Canis lupus familiaris: one gene and its partners. The protein of the gene in region 3 purifies or fractionates together with the protein of the main gene of each other region. This does not show direct contact. Links are inferred from orthologs where the notes say so. Each region holds a gene or a part of one and is shown on either strand. Other genes may lie near its edges.

The links.
Region 1: the proteins of KHDRBS1 (region 3) and LCK purify together in Homo sapiens (affinity purification with western blotting; 5 studies listed by BioGRID and IntAct, with this or other methods). This does not show direct contact. The link is inferred for Canis lupus familiaris from reciprocal best matches to the Homo sapiens genes KHDRBS1 and LCK.
Region 2: the proteins of KHDRBS1 (region 3) and PLCG1 purify together in Homo sapiens (affinity purification with western blotting; 7 studies listed by BioGRID and IntAct, with this or other methods). This does not show direct contact. The link is inferred for Canis lupus familiaris from reciprocal best matches to the Homo sapiens genes KHDRBS1 and PLCG1.

What each region holds. Positions count from the first base shown.
Region 1 is NC_049223.1:68,360,179-68,364,555, reverse strand, and holds the start of LCK (tyrosine-protein kinase Lck), read left to right. Parts: upstream 1-1,556; 5' UTR 1,557-1,714; intron 1,715-4,377. UniProt on the Homo sapiens protein: Non-receptor tyrosine-protein kinase that plays an essential role in the selection and maturation of developing T-cells in the thymus and in the function of mature T-cells. Plays a key role in T-cell antigen receptor (TCR)-linked signal transduction pathways.
Region 2 is NC_049245.1:29,750,432-29,754,977, forward strand, and holds the start of PLCG1 (1-phosphatidylinositol 4,5-bisphosphate phosphodiesterase gamma-1), read left to right. Parts: upstream 1-1,725; 5' UTR 1,726-1,761; coding exon 1,762-1,978; intron 1,979-4,546. UniProt on the Homo sapiens protein: Mediates the production of the second messenger molecules diacylglycerol (DAG) and inositol 1,4,5-trisphosphate (IP3). Plays an important role in the regulation of intracellular signaling cascades.
Region 3 is NC_049223.1:68,522,361-68,526,261, forward strand, and holds part of KHDRBS1 (KH domain-containing, RNA-binding, signal transduction-associated protein 1), read right to left. Parts: intron 3,761-3,901; coding exon 3,559-3,760; intron 3,045-3,558; coding exon 2,977-3,044; intron 2,196-2,976; coding exon 2,137-2,195; intron 1-2,136. UniProt on the Homo sapiens protein: Recruited and tyrosine phosphorylated by several receptor systems, for example the T-cell, leptin and insulin receptors. Once phosphorylated, functions as an adapter protein in signal transduction cascades by binding to SH2 and SH3 domain-containing proteins.

The DNA of each region.
Region 1 (4,377 bases), about 160 kb from region 3:
GGAGGGAGAGGGAGAAGCAGACTCCCTCTGAACAGGGAGCTGGAGGTGGGGCTCATCCCAGGATCCTGAGATCATGACCTGCGCTGAAGGCAGACGCCCACCGGTTCACTGAGCCACCCAGGCGCCCCTCCACCATGCATTTCTAGCAGACCTTGAGGATGTCCCTAAGCTGGCAGCTGTTTCTTTACCTCTAAACTGGAAATGCTATTTCTTACTCCACAAGTAGTTGGGGATGTCTGAAGTGAGACAACACTTAAACACTCAAAAAACATGAACTCTCTCTTGCTGATCCTTGCTTCCGCCAGTGGTATGAATGCTGTTGTGCTGAAGGCCAGAGGGGCCTGTGCAGGGCTCTGGGTCACCATAGGTTTTTTTTACAACATATCTCCTCAGCCTTTGTTTCTGTGTTACCCTCTTTGTCTGACTTTCCAGCTCAGGCTTCCTCTTCCCCCCACCCATTTCCTGTCTCCCCCTTCCCTCTGCAGCTGAGGTGCACACAGCATCAGCTTCCACCTCACAAACCCCAACAATGCTCTGTGGGCTCCCCTCCCCCAAACTGCTCGCTAAGTGTGGGCTCCAGCAGTGGTGACTGTGACACATTTATACTTTCCTATGGGTGGGGCCAAGGCCCAGCTCTTGTGCCTCATAGAGACCGTCCAGAGTTCCTCATAACACTGATAACCTGGCACTTAACCTATGATGGGTGCCACCCTCAGCTTGGCCCAGGGGGAAGGGAGATTCTCAGCCTGCTTGCTGCTCCTGACAAGGCTTCTCTGTCCTGCCTCTAACAGAAAAGACCTGCCAGTCAGCGGCTGGCACCTGGGTGCCTGGGCAGGAGTGTTTGTCTGCCTTCCACCTGTTGCAGGAGATGGTGGCAGGCCCTACATGTCTAACAGGGGCTGTGACCTTGCCTCTTCCTGAATTAGAAGTGTCGCCCTGATGAGTGGGTGTTAGCCTGTCCTCTGCCCCCAGCAGGAGCTGTTAATCTGTCATTCTAAAGACACAAGGTGGTCTAGCCTGCTTGCTTAAACAGCTTGCTGTCCAGCCTTCTGTCTGTAAGAAGCTTACCCTCTGACTCTAGTAAAGTTGTTGTCCCTTGCCCTGAGATGGCATGACAGTTGCTAGGCAGCCGTACTAGCCTGACATCTGACTGTAGCATAGGATGTTTGGCTCCCCAACTATTTAACAGGGCTAGTGTTCTCTCCTCTGACTTGGAAATGGGGTCACCTTTGCCATCTCTAGACTGCAATGAAACGTTCACTCAGCTCTCAGACTGTGACAGCTGTGCCACTCGCCTTTCACTGAAAGCTAAGTGTGTGTCTGCTCACCCTTTGCTCACTGGGGTATAAAGGCTGCCCTTGACTCTCTTGTCCAGGTGCTCCCTGGGGGGCAGGAGGGAGGTTCCATCAAGTGTCCTCTCTTCAGCTCCAAGTGCCACCCTCAGGAGGGCCTGGAGATGGTTAGGACCCCCAGGGGCTGAGGAGTGGGGGGCTCTAACAGCAGGAAGCTTGGGGTGCCGGAGGCTTGTGGTTGGGCTGCTGGGGCCCGGTTGGCTGCGGAGCCCTCAGAAGGAGGCAGGAAGTCAGGGTGGGACGTGGGCGCGCTAAGACAGACGGTGGCCACCTTAGCAAGGGGAGCCAAAACCGTGTGTAAGCAGCCAGGCCAAGCCAGGAGGACCATGTGAATGGGACCAGAGGGCTCCCGGGCCGGGCAGGTAAGGAACACTGGGAACAGGGGTCTCAGGGCTGTGCTGGGAGCCTGACAGTGGGGGCTACACCTGGGCATGGGCATGGGGCTGGGCTCCCTGGGCATCCAGCAGCCCTACAGGCTGGGGAATAGAAAAATCTTGCTAGAGGTCAGGTGGGCCTCATACAGTTCAGCTGGATCACCTCTTGCCCCTGCCACACCGTCAGTCACTGGTCCCTACCTCACTGGGAGCATTTTCTTAGAGATCTGGCACATGGACTGTCAGGTATTTTAAAAAGGCCTCAGAAATCCCTGAGTTCAAGGGCACCTGGGTGGCTCAGTTGGTTAAGTGTCTGCCTTCAGCTCAGGTCATCATCTCAGGGTCCTGGGATCGAACCCCACATTGGGCTCCTCTGTCAGCAAGGAGTCTGCTTCCCCCTCTCCCTCTGCCCCTAACCCCACTCATGCTCACTCACTCTCGCTCTCAAATAAATAAATAAATAAATAAATAAATAAATAAATAAAATATTGAAGAAGAAAGAAAGAAAGAAAGAAGAAAGAAAGAAAGAAAGAAAGAAAGAAAGAAAGAAAGAAAGAAAGAAAGAAAGAAAGAAAGATCCCTAAGTTCAGCCCCTGATCCGATGATGGGTGAACATCTTGAGGCCCAGAGAAGGCAAGACCTCCCTCCCCACAGTACTCAGCAAGGCAGTGGCAGGGTCAGTCTCTGGGAGAGGGTGGTGGCCTAGGCTAGTACTACCCCCCACCCATGGGGCAGGGTGATAGGCTTGAGTCAGGGGACCCAGGAATCCTGTTGATTGCTGGGGCAGACCCCAGGGACAGGAATCGTCTGAGAGAGACAGAGTGAGATTGAGAGAGAGAGAGAGAGGAATCCCTCGGAACATCCGGATGGACACGTGAGAAGTGATTTTAGCCTCAGTGACCAGCAGCGCTGGAGAGGCAGAGGTGTCTTCTTCGGAAGCTGCTGGATACGTGAGGGTATGTTTATCATCTGGGATGGGCCTCCAGGGCGGAAGTGTCTGACTGGAGGTCAGGGAGTCGAAGGACAGAGAATGGGAAGGGAAGAGCAGAGGAAGGGCTATTTTTATCCGAGACTGGGGTGCAGTTGGCCCTGGGCAGAGAACGTCTGCATTTCCATCTGGAAAGTTGCCATTCCTGCCCCTGCTGAGTGTCATGGGATGCCCACCCCCTTCCTCTGGTTTCACCCCTACCCCCCACTGCATGTGTAGGACCAGTTGGTCCTACTGATTGCTGCTTCAAACCCCTGGGAAGTGGAGGCCCAGGAAGGCATAGTCAGCTACCTGCCCACCCCCTCACTTTCTTCTGAACCTTCAGTTTATGGGGGGCATCCCCATGTGAGCCAGACTTTCCAGGTTTCCCTCACCCTACCCTCCACCATTGGAATTTTTTTGACACATAGTTTCCACCTAGTCAGCAGCGTATCCCAGCCTTTCTCTTGTCCCCAAGTCCAAGGCTGGTAGCCTTTTGTGGGAACCCTCCCTGTGCTTCAGAGGGGCTCATCTACACCCTGGACTTGCACCTCTCTCATCCAGCATGTGCTGATAGATTACTCAGGGTCCCTTGCCTTCATGGCTCAGGGACAGAGGTTCTCCTCAAAGGGTTAAGGACCAAGTGATGGGCAAGAGAAAAAGGTGAGGTTCTCAGAGAACAGCCTTCCCTCAGGTGATCTGGAAGGCTCCCTGGAAGTCAACACAGTTCTGAGAAGGACAAAGGCCCATTTTGGAAAGAGGTTATGACATAGCCAAGGGCACTGTCCTTGGTTTCTGTTTCTTGAGAAGCAAGAGAATAGAGCAAGACCAAACACCAGACAGTTAATGGACATGGTATAGTGCAAAGAACATGGGTTTCAGGGTTAGGCCAACCCAGATACAGTTTTGGTCCTGGCATTTCCCTGAACAATATTGACTTCATCCTCCAGACTCCCAACTCCAGATCACTAATCTGTGAAGAGGCAATAATAAATCTCTCCCTTACAGAATGCTTGTGGGGACCTGTGACATGCCCTGGGTTGTACCTGACACATTGTAGGTACTTAACAGAGGTTAGGTAGTCCCTCCCCTGTAAATAGTGCACCAAAGGGAAGACTGTTCACACCCAGAATTACACCTATTCAGCACCTTGGCTGGCCAGTGCACCACCATTCCCTCACACTTGTGGTGTGGCTTTGCAAATAAGCTTGTTTCCTGTGTTTAGTAGGAGTGAGAACTCTAAGCTGAGCCACAGAGTCTGCTCAGCGTTAGATGAGAGTTCCCCACACACAACTTCACACTCACCCTATCCCAAACACGAGACATATCACCAGAAAATATATGTGTGCACGAATGGGCAGAGGCAGAAGCAGGTTCTATACACACAACATACACTGGATCTTAACAAATCTATACACACCCCCACAGGTCGGTGACTTCAAGGCCAAGCTCAGTTCAGTGAAAGCAATGCTGAGGGGAGCTGGGGGTGGGGGTGGGATGGGGGCCGGGAGGACCAACATACCATCCAGAGAGGTGGCCTCCAATAACAAACTTTGGTGTTGGCTTTAATGTAGCTGGCGCTGCATTTCCAACGCTTGCTCTTTTTTTCTTTTTTTTTTTTTTTTTTTTTTTTTTTTTTAATAAAGATTTTATTTATTTATTCATGAGAGAGAGAGAGAGAGGC
Region 2 (4,546 bases), on a different chromosome or scaffold from region 3:
GGTCTGTGACAGGGGCCGCTACATCACAGGGGCAAGCCGAGGGAATGGCTTCGGGAAGGCAGAGTGTGGATTATTCAAATAACCACTAAAAGGCCTTGTGGCTAGTGCATGGAGAGGTGAAGGGGAGGTGCTGAGAGACGGCGGGAGACAGAGAAAGGGGGCCCCAGGCCACTCAGGGCCGGCCGGGACGGGAGGGAGCACGGGCTTGGAGTGCAAAGGCAAGTCCTGGAGGCGGTGGGGCCGGAGGTGGCCGATGGGGATTTAATTTCTTTTTAAAAAAATTAAAGCATGGATAGTAGATGCAGGTAAGACCAGGGAGAGTAAAGAGTCTGGACGAGAGAAGATGCAAGTCAGGCGTGGTGGGTGGGGTGGCGAGGGCCAACGGTGGCGCGGCCAGGCCGGCCCGCGAGGTGGCTGGGAGCCGAGGCGGCGGCGGCGTCGAGGACACCTCCGAGGGGCTTGGCCCAAGCACGTTAGCAGACCGAGCGCCAGGCTCGGGGGGGGGGGGCGGGGCAGTGCAGGGAGCGGGGCGCGCAGTCGGAGGGGGAGGGCGGAGGGCGGAGGGGAGTGGCGCCGCGGGGCAGCCCGGGGTGCCTGGTCTGGGAGTGAAGCCCTGGGGAGGTGGCGTCGCCTGAGCGCCCGGCTCCGGACCAGGCCAGCCGGAGAGAGGCTTCCGGGCCCGCGGGCAGCGGCCTGGGGGGAGGCGGGAGGAAAACACGCGGAGTGAGGCCGCGGAAACCCCTGCCAGAGGGGCGCGAGGAGGCGGGGCGTGAGGTGGCGCGGGCGGCGGGCGGCGGGCGGCGGGCGAGGAGCCGCGCAGGCGGAGGCCGCCGGGGGCCGCAGGTCTGAAGGCCCGACAGGCCGCGCTCAGGCCCGGGGGCCGCTCCGGAGGACGGGGCCGTCGAGCGCCCGCCACGCTCGCCGCAGGGGCGGGACGGACGAGGGTCCGGCGGTCGCAGGAGCGGCCTGCGGGGCAGCCCCGAGCGGCCCAAGGGGCGGGGCGGGGCAGGCCTGCTGTCCGTCAAAGCCCGCCAGCCAATCCGCAGGCTGCCCCGCCCCCGCCCCGCCCCGGAGAGGGTGCGCGGAGGGCCCGCCTCCGCCGCCGCCGCCGCTGCCCCGCCGCCGCCGCCGCCGCCGCCGCCGCGGGTGTGAGGCGGCCCGGCCTGGCCTGGCTGGCTCCCTCCGCCGGGCAGCCGCCCAGGTAACCGGGCTCGGCCGGCGGGCCGGGGCGCTCTGCACCCTCACCTTTCCTCCCGGCCGCCGCGCGGGCAGCGGGCTGAGGGAGCGGCTGCGGCCGGGCCTGTGCGGGACAGCGGGCCTGGGCGACCGCCCGTGCGTGTGCGACTGACTGACGGGCCGGCGCGGGGCTGCCGCCGCGTGACGGGGCCGGCCGGGGCGGCGTGAGGAGGGCGGCGGACGGAGCGGCGGGCCGCGGGAGCGCGAGCGGCGGGCGCGCCCCCGCCGCCATTGCGCCCCGCGTCCCTGCCTGGGCCTGTCCGGGGGTCGCGGGGCGCAGGCGCGGCGGGAGGCGGGCGGGGGTCCTCTCCACGGGCGCGCGGGCGCCTTTGTTCCCGGCGCGCGGGCCGGGGCGGGGCCTGAGGAGCCGCCCCGCCCCCCGCCTCAGGCCCCGCCCCGTCTCCGCCCGCAGGAGCCGCCGCCGGGCCCGCTCGCGGGCCGCCTCAGCCGCCTCAGCCGCCGCCGCCGCCGCCGCCGCCGCCGCCTGCTCCCGCCGGCCGGGCCTCCGCCCCCAGCGCCGGAGCCATGGCGGGCGCCGCTTCCCCCTGCGCCAACGGCTGCGGGCCCGGCGCGCCCTCGGACGCCGAGGTGCTGCACCTCTGCCGCAGCCTCGAGGTGGGCACCGTCATGACTTTGTTCTACTCCAAGAAGTCGCAGCGGCCGGAGCGGAAGACCTTCCAGGTCAAGCTGGAGACGCGGCAGATCACGTGGAGCCGTGGCGCCGACAAGATCGAGGGGGCCAGTAAGTGCGCCCGCTCCCTGGGGCCCGCGCGAGTCCGCTCCCGCTCCCGCTCCCGCGCCCCGCCGCCTCTGGAGTGACTTGGGTGAACTTTGGGGCCCTCCCCCGCAGCCTCCGGGCCCCGCCCCCGCCCCCGCCCCGGTGGTCCCCGCGGGCGGGGGGCATCCGGGTCCTCCGTCACCTGACAGGACACCCCCTCCCCCAGCCCGGGGGGTGCTCCAGGCGCTGCGCCCGGAGGCCTAAGAATCCCAGCGGGTTGGGGCCGGCGGGGCAGGCGTCGGGGGTGCCCCCCCCCCCCCCCGGCAGTGCTGGTGACTGGGGCGAGGGAAGCCCAGGCGGCGGCAGCCCACCCGGCCCCAGAATCGGGGGCCAGGCCGGACGGTCATCGCCCACCACCTTTTTTCCCCAGAAGAGTAGTCGTGGTGAAACTTTCTGGGCCCCCCGGGCTGGGCTCCATTTGCAAAGGAACCTTTGGGTTCCCTGAGTAGAATTTAGGCAGATGTTGGGGTAGGGCTGGCTTTGGGTCAGAGCCGGGCCTGCCCCCCCCCCCCCCTCCTCTCTCTCTCCCTCTCGGAGAGGGTGCAAGGTGGTCTTGTTTGGTTTGGAAAAGCCTGAGGGAAGGCAGCGGCTGCTTTTTCCCGCTGCTGCTTTTGTCTCGAAGCTGAATTTTAGAGGTCTGCGTGGGTGGGCCGACACTCAAAGCCAGGACCCGGACTCTTGGTAAAGAGGCCAGGCTTCTCTTACCCTTGGAAGCACATCCTCAAGAGCGTGGCCCAGAAAGGCCACCCTCCGTGCCTTAGAGTCAGGTACTTTCGAGAGTGTGCAGCCAATTTTGGGTCTAGCCCTTTGTGTCCTGCGTCCTGTGCTGCGTGGCCACGGGGAGCTGGGAGCGGCTACCTTTGGTTTCCTGCTGCTTGGCCTTCTCAGGCCTGAACTTGGCTGCTTTGGGACAGATCTCAGGAGGAGGGAATTGGGGATTTTGAAAAAGCCCAGATCCTTTCAGTGTTACTACACTTAATGCATCCCTGTGCTGTGGCCGGGTGGGCACCCAGCTCTGCCCTCCATTCCCCCACCTTCAAGTGTGAGAGGTAGTGTGTCTGCAACCCTAGGTTGTGGGTTGCTTCCTGCAAGGACTCCCCCCAGAGACTCAGAACTAGGTCCATGTGGAGGAGGGGCGTCAGGAAGTGACACCCCCATGGGAAGGCCCTACAGACCTTGGGTATCGTGTACATGTGTGTAGATGGGTGAGGAGATTGGGAGGAAGGAAAGTCTTGTGGTGAAGCAGCCACCCTCAACTACAAACTCCAGATCTGATACAGCTGCTGAACTCAGAAATGGCAACTGCCTTCCGCTGTGCCTCCATCAGCCCTGCCAGCTATGGAGAGAAGATTTTAGTGATTCGAGAGACTGGATTCCAAAATTGTGGAATGATAGACACTGCAGAGAGCCAGATAGATAGTCCTGGGGACTTCACCCAGGCATCAAGACTTCCAGGCACAGCCTCTTCCTTGCTTTTATAGTGCTCCCTATGCTCTGCTCAGTTGGTGGCACTGACCAGAGGTTCCCCAGTAGAGATTTCCTGGGTAACAGACTGCACTTCAAACCATGCATGTGATCAGCAGGCAGTACGTGCAGCTCTGTGGTTGAAGACAAGGCTGGATTTGAAGCCCATTGATTAGTTGTGGGCCACTTGCTTATCTAGCTAGTTACTTATTTTCTCTGAGCTTAGTTTCCTTATCTATAGAGTAGGAATGGTAAAATATATGCTATATATGGTTGCTCTGGAGATTAAATGAGAATTGGTGTAAAACATGTAGCACAGTGCTTGATACATTGTAAATGTTTAATAAGTGTGAGCTGTTTTTAATAATAACAATAGAAGTAAAAGAGTGTGACTGCCCTCCTCCATCCTGGACTATGAATGTTGAGGGAGGTGGACTATGGCTGTAGGAGAGCATGAGGGTATAGGGAGGGAGGAGGATGGGAACCAAGTTCACATTTCACTTAAAGGGAGGAAATGGTTTTGTTTTGCTTTAACTCCTCTCCTCACCCACCCACCTATCATACGTAGAATAGTACATGACAGTAAAATCATGGAGTAAATCTAGAGAGATTTGCACATCTGACTCTCGGGTGTGACTTGACTTATTTGTAAGTTGGGGCCTGAACAGAGGGATGTGGGGAAGAGTGAGTCTAGTCCGTGGTGTCTCAGGTCTTTGGGGGTTGGTGACAGGAATGCAGGGGATCCTATGGCCCCCAGCTCCCAGGGTAGGTCAGCTAGAGAAATACAGATTCAGTGATCTCATCAGCTGCAAGTGTAGGCAAAGAATATAGGAGCCTTGGCCCTTTGATTTTGGAGGCCCAGGTTGAAGGAGTCTGAGTAAAAATGCTAGTAGATGCTTGTGTAGGGTTCACACATTGTAAATGGAGCTTCTCACTGAAGCTCGCCCACTTCTGCCCATTCGTGGTATACTTTGTTGGTGACTTCTGATCCTTGCAGCCCCCCTACCCTACCCCCCCCCACAGGCTCTGAGGAAGGTTGGGCTGCCAGCTGTGTCCCCTACCATCTGG
Region 3 (3,901 bases):
GTTTGGCCTTCTGGAACGGGGCAATTTTGAGTGGACAGAAGGAAACAGCTCAGAAAAGGCCTGGAATCATCTTCAGCAAAGAGGTTCTCCACTGGCAACATGATCTACTCCAACCCCCAAACCTGGATAAACCAACACCTTGCTTGAGACAGTAAGGAGATGAATCTCAGTGGGTCCACAATGTCCTTCTTCCCGTTCCCAAAAGCATCTGGCAGAAAGTCTTGGGTAATGTGGCAACTTTGCGAGGTCTTTCAGACTGGAAATCAGGTGGCCTCCCTTTCCACCAGTAAGTCAGGTTTCCCTGTTAAGAAGTGTCCTCTGGCTCTCTGGGAGGAACAAGCAAGGGCCACATTTCATGAGGCCTCCCCACCAGCAGAGCTGGTCCACTGCTCTGGCGGAGGGAAGTACAATTGAATGTATTCATAACACTGATATGATGGAGAATTCATGATTTCCTTTCTCATGCAGTAGTCCAGAGAAGCCAGATAACGTGGTTGACATCCTCAAATGGTTTTCCTTTGATACAGGGAAAAGCCTGAGGGACATGATCCCTTACTTCTACAGCTGACCTCTTATGAACAGGAGTTGGGATTATGAGCTTATTCTTCCCACTCGCCCCCATACTTTACCTATGCCAGTTCATCCCCAATGTATTTCTCCAGCTGCCTGCATTCACAAATATGAGCCTCCATCTCTACAGGTCTAAAACCTCTATATGGACCCGCAGTCCCACAGAACCCTATGCAAGCCTATTTATACCCTTAGTATGATAGGTACATCCATTACTTTCCAAGTGGCTTCTAGTACTAACAAGACAGTTTATTTTTCTAATTCTGTTTATAAAAGGTAGAAATCATAACAGATTAACTGCAGCAACATCACACCAGGAGCAAAAGAAGCAGTCTGACTCTTTCAGTCCAGTCTCTTTTCTGGCAAAACAGAAATGTAATTTAGTCAAACACATACAGAGGCCCCGTTGTGCCGCCTCACCAATGGATGGAATGCCCTAGGGCAATCCCACTGCCCTTTTAAACGGTGGCCTCAGAGCAGTGCAGCATTACTGATGGCAACTGTCCAGTACCATTTAGCTAGAATTGGTAAAAACCATTTCTCTAGGCAAGCAGCTGACTGGCTACTACATAACTGTGCTGAGGAGTAAAGCTCAGCTTGTCTGTCAGTGGGAGCTCTAAGAGGCTCCCCACCTCCTCCTTTTCAGCTAGGGGTAAGGAGAGACTGTTTACTAGCGTCTTAAGATGAACTGTCAATTACTGAGCCCCTCACCAAGCACTCTGGAACTCCCTCAAGTATGTTGAAAATCCTTGCATTCAAAAGGCTGCTCTCTCTGCACCCATTGCCACATGGCACTCCCTCTGGGGCCCATTAACACAGGGCCATAATTGGCTCTTGAGGACACTCTTGAGCAATGTGTTTTCAACTAAACCTCAGGGAAGACAGCTTGGTCCTACTGCCATTCCAGCCTCTATAGGTCCTTTGGGATCAGGGACTGAGTTGAGAGGTCTCCAAGCAAGTAAGGAGCTGAATTGGCTCTAGCTCTTATAGCCTCAGATCTGAGGCTGATAGGCACTCTTCTTGCACCCAACCTGCTTTTGGCTAGCTACTTGCCGTCTCGTTCTCTTTCAGCTAACATTTCCTCTACATTGAGATTCTTTTCAATGAGATCCAAAATCGTTGCTAAAAATGAAGTGGGGCTGGAGAATAAAGTTAGATATGATTAAGTTCTTATTATCTACTAATGTGGCCTAGGCACCAGCAGCAAAGGCCCTGCAACATGACCTAGGCCTGGCCATCTCTCCTGGTCTAACGTAGAAAAAGATCATCATCAACTTAAAAGTCTGCTGCTCCAACCAGACCAAGCTGGACCTGAGCCCTAGTTTAAGATACCTACTTAGCCTTCCAAGAGTAACAGTACCCCATTTCACCTTAAGAGCTCCTCTTTCTATGCCACATCACACAATTTCAATAAGAGAAGGACAGCTACTGTCACATCTACCAACATCTCAGCTTTCTAAAAGCTCCTCTTTCAGTATGTGACTGGTGGCCCCCAATAATTGAGTCACCAGCATTCCTGCAGGCACTTACTTGCACACTTTGCCCACCATGGAAATAAAGACATACCATAAGCTTCGTAAGAATCTTGAACCTCCCCATGTCCATAGTCATAATATTCTGAGTCCCTGAAAGCCAAAGACAGAGCGTTAGAGAGCTAGAGTAACTCTTGTTTCCATTTCTCATTCCTCTCACATTTCAGTCATTTTAATAGGTGTGGAAGACAGGAAAATGCTCGTTCTGCCCCATCTCCAAACCAGAAAACATTTCAAAACATATAGGAGCTAGTAATTATTTTTTTTAAGGAGCTAGTAATTATTAAAAAAAAATTGATAACCATAGCAAAGATGGATGCCACATAATTTAAAGTGAGAGAGCATAATCCAAAACTGACCATCTTAATTATAGTGTACACACACACATTTATAGGGCTCATTGGAAGAGAATAAACAAACATGCTGTTCCTGTCCCCACTGTATAATTATGAGACACTTTTCAATCAATCACAGACAAAATATGTATACACAAAAACATTATTATTTAAGACGAGTGCACAAAACAACCCAAGTTATGGTAGTAAGATTCTAGGCTTCCTTTTAAACTTTAATGCACTTTTAATGTGACAAGAATACATCAAAACAATTTAATGGCATTTTCCCTTCATTTCCATGCGGTCACAGCTCAGTAATTTTCCATCTGCTATTCCCAAATTCTACACTGTAAATTAAGATTCACAGCTATCTAAGCTTATAGATCTGTGTGCCCTACAGATATGGAAAGTAAAGGCGATACTTTCCAAAAGGGAGCCACGCTGCTCCTTAGATGTGTCCTACCTAAATCTCTCAGTTGCTCAAACTCCCTCCCATCCATCCCTAGGACACGAAACAGCACTTCTATTGCCTGACTTACCCTTGGCTCTGGCTGTAATAGCCTTCGTAGCCTTCATAACTCTGTTCTGCGTAAGTATCATCATATCCCTGGAACAAATAAAATGAAATAGTCAGAATCACACAGAGTAGGGAAGGTAATTACAACTCATAGGAGGATGGCAGACTCCCAGATTAACAATGCAAAACTTCCCTCCAAAATTTACACTCACTGGGGAATTGTTGAGAGAGAAAGGGTTATTTTTTTAAAAAACGAAACAAAACTGAACTACCAACCAAACCAAATCATCTTTCAAATTGTGGGCAGGAAACAAGGTAAACAGTTGAAGTTGAGAATTATCAGTAGTACTAGCAAAAAGACCCCTTACTAAAAGACTATACATATCAAGGTACAGCCTATTTCCTGTTTAATCTATTCACACATAGTAAACTGCTTAAAATGGAAAAAATCTTCTCATATTTTAATGCTCACTGCAAGAGAAGAGACTGACTCCAGATCTCTTATAGGTTGTCCCTGCCACCTATGTCAAAGGCCAACGCCCTATCATTCAACTTTGGCAACCTTCTAGGTATTGGGAAACAGCACACTGTTCCAACTCCTTACATATTCTTCATATGTTTCCGGCGCAGGGGGTGGAGGCAAAGGTATTCTCTGGATGCCTGCTGTCCGTGCTCTTGGTGCTGGAGCACCCCTCACCGTAGGTGGGGGTGGCACTCCTCGAGTCACGGTGGCACCTCTAGTGATGGCTCCTCTCACTGGGGTACCACGCACCAAAGCCCCCCGAGGTGGTCCAACACCACGGCCCCTGCAAAAAGAAAATTTACGTTAAATGGAGCTTTTAATACATCAACTAACACATTCCTGTTCAGATTTGTTTGCAAAATCTGGAGCTAGGCAGATTTCACGAGGCCTTAAACAGACTACTATTAAAACACAGAGGAAACAA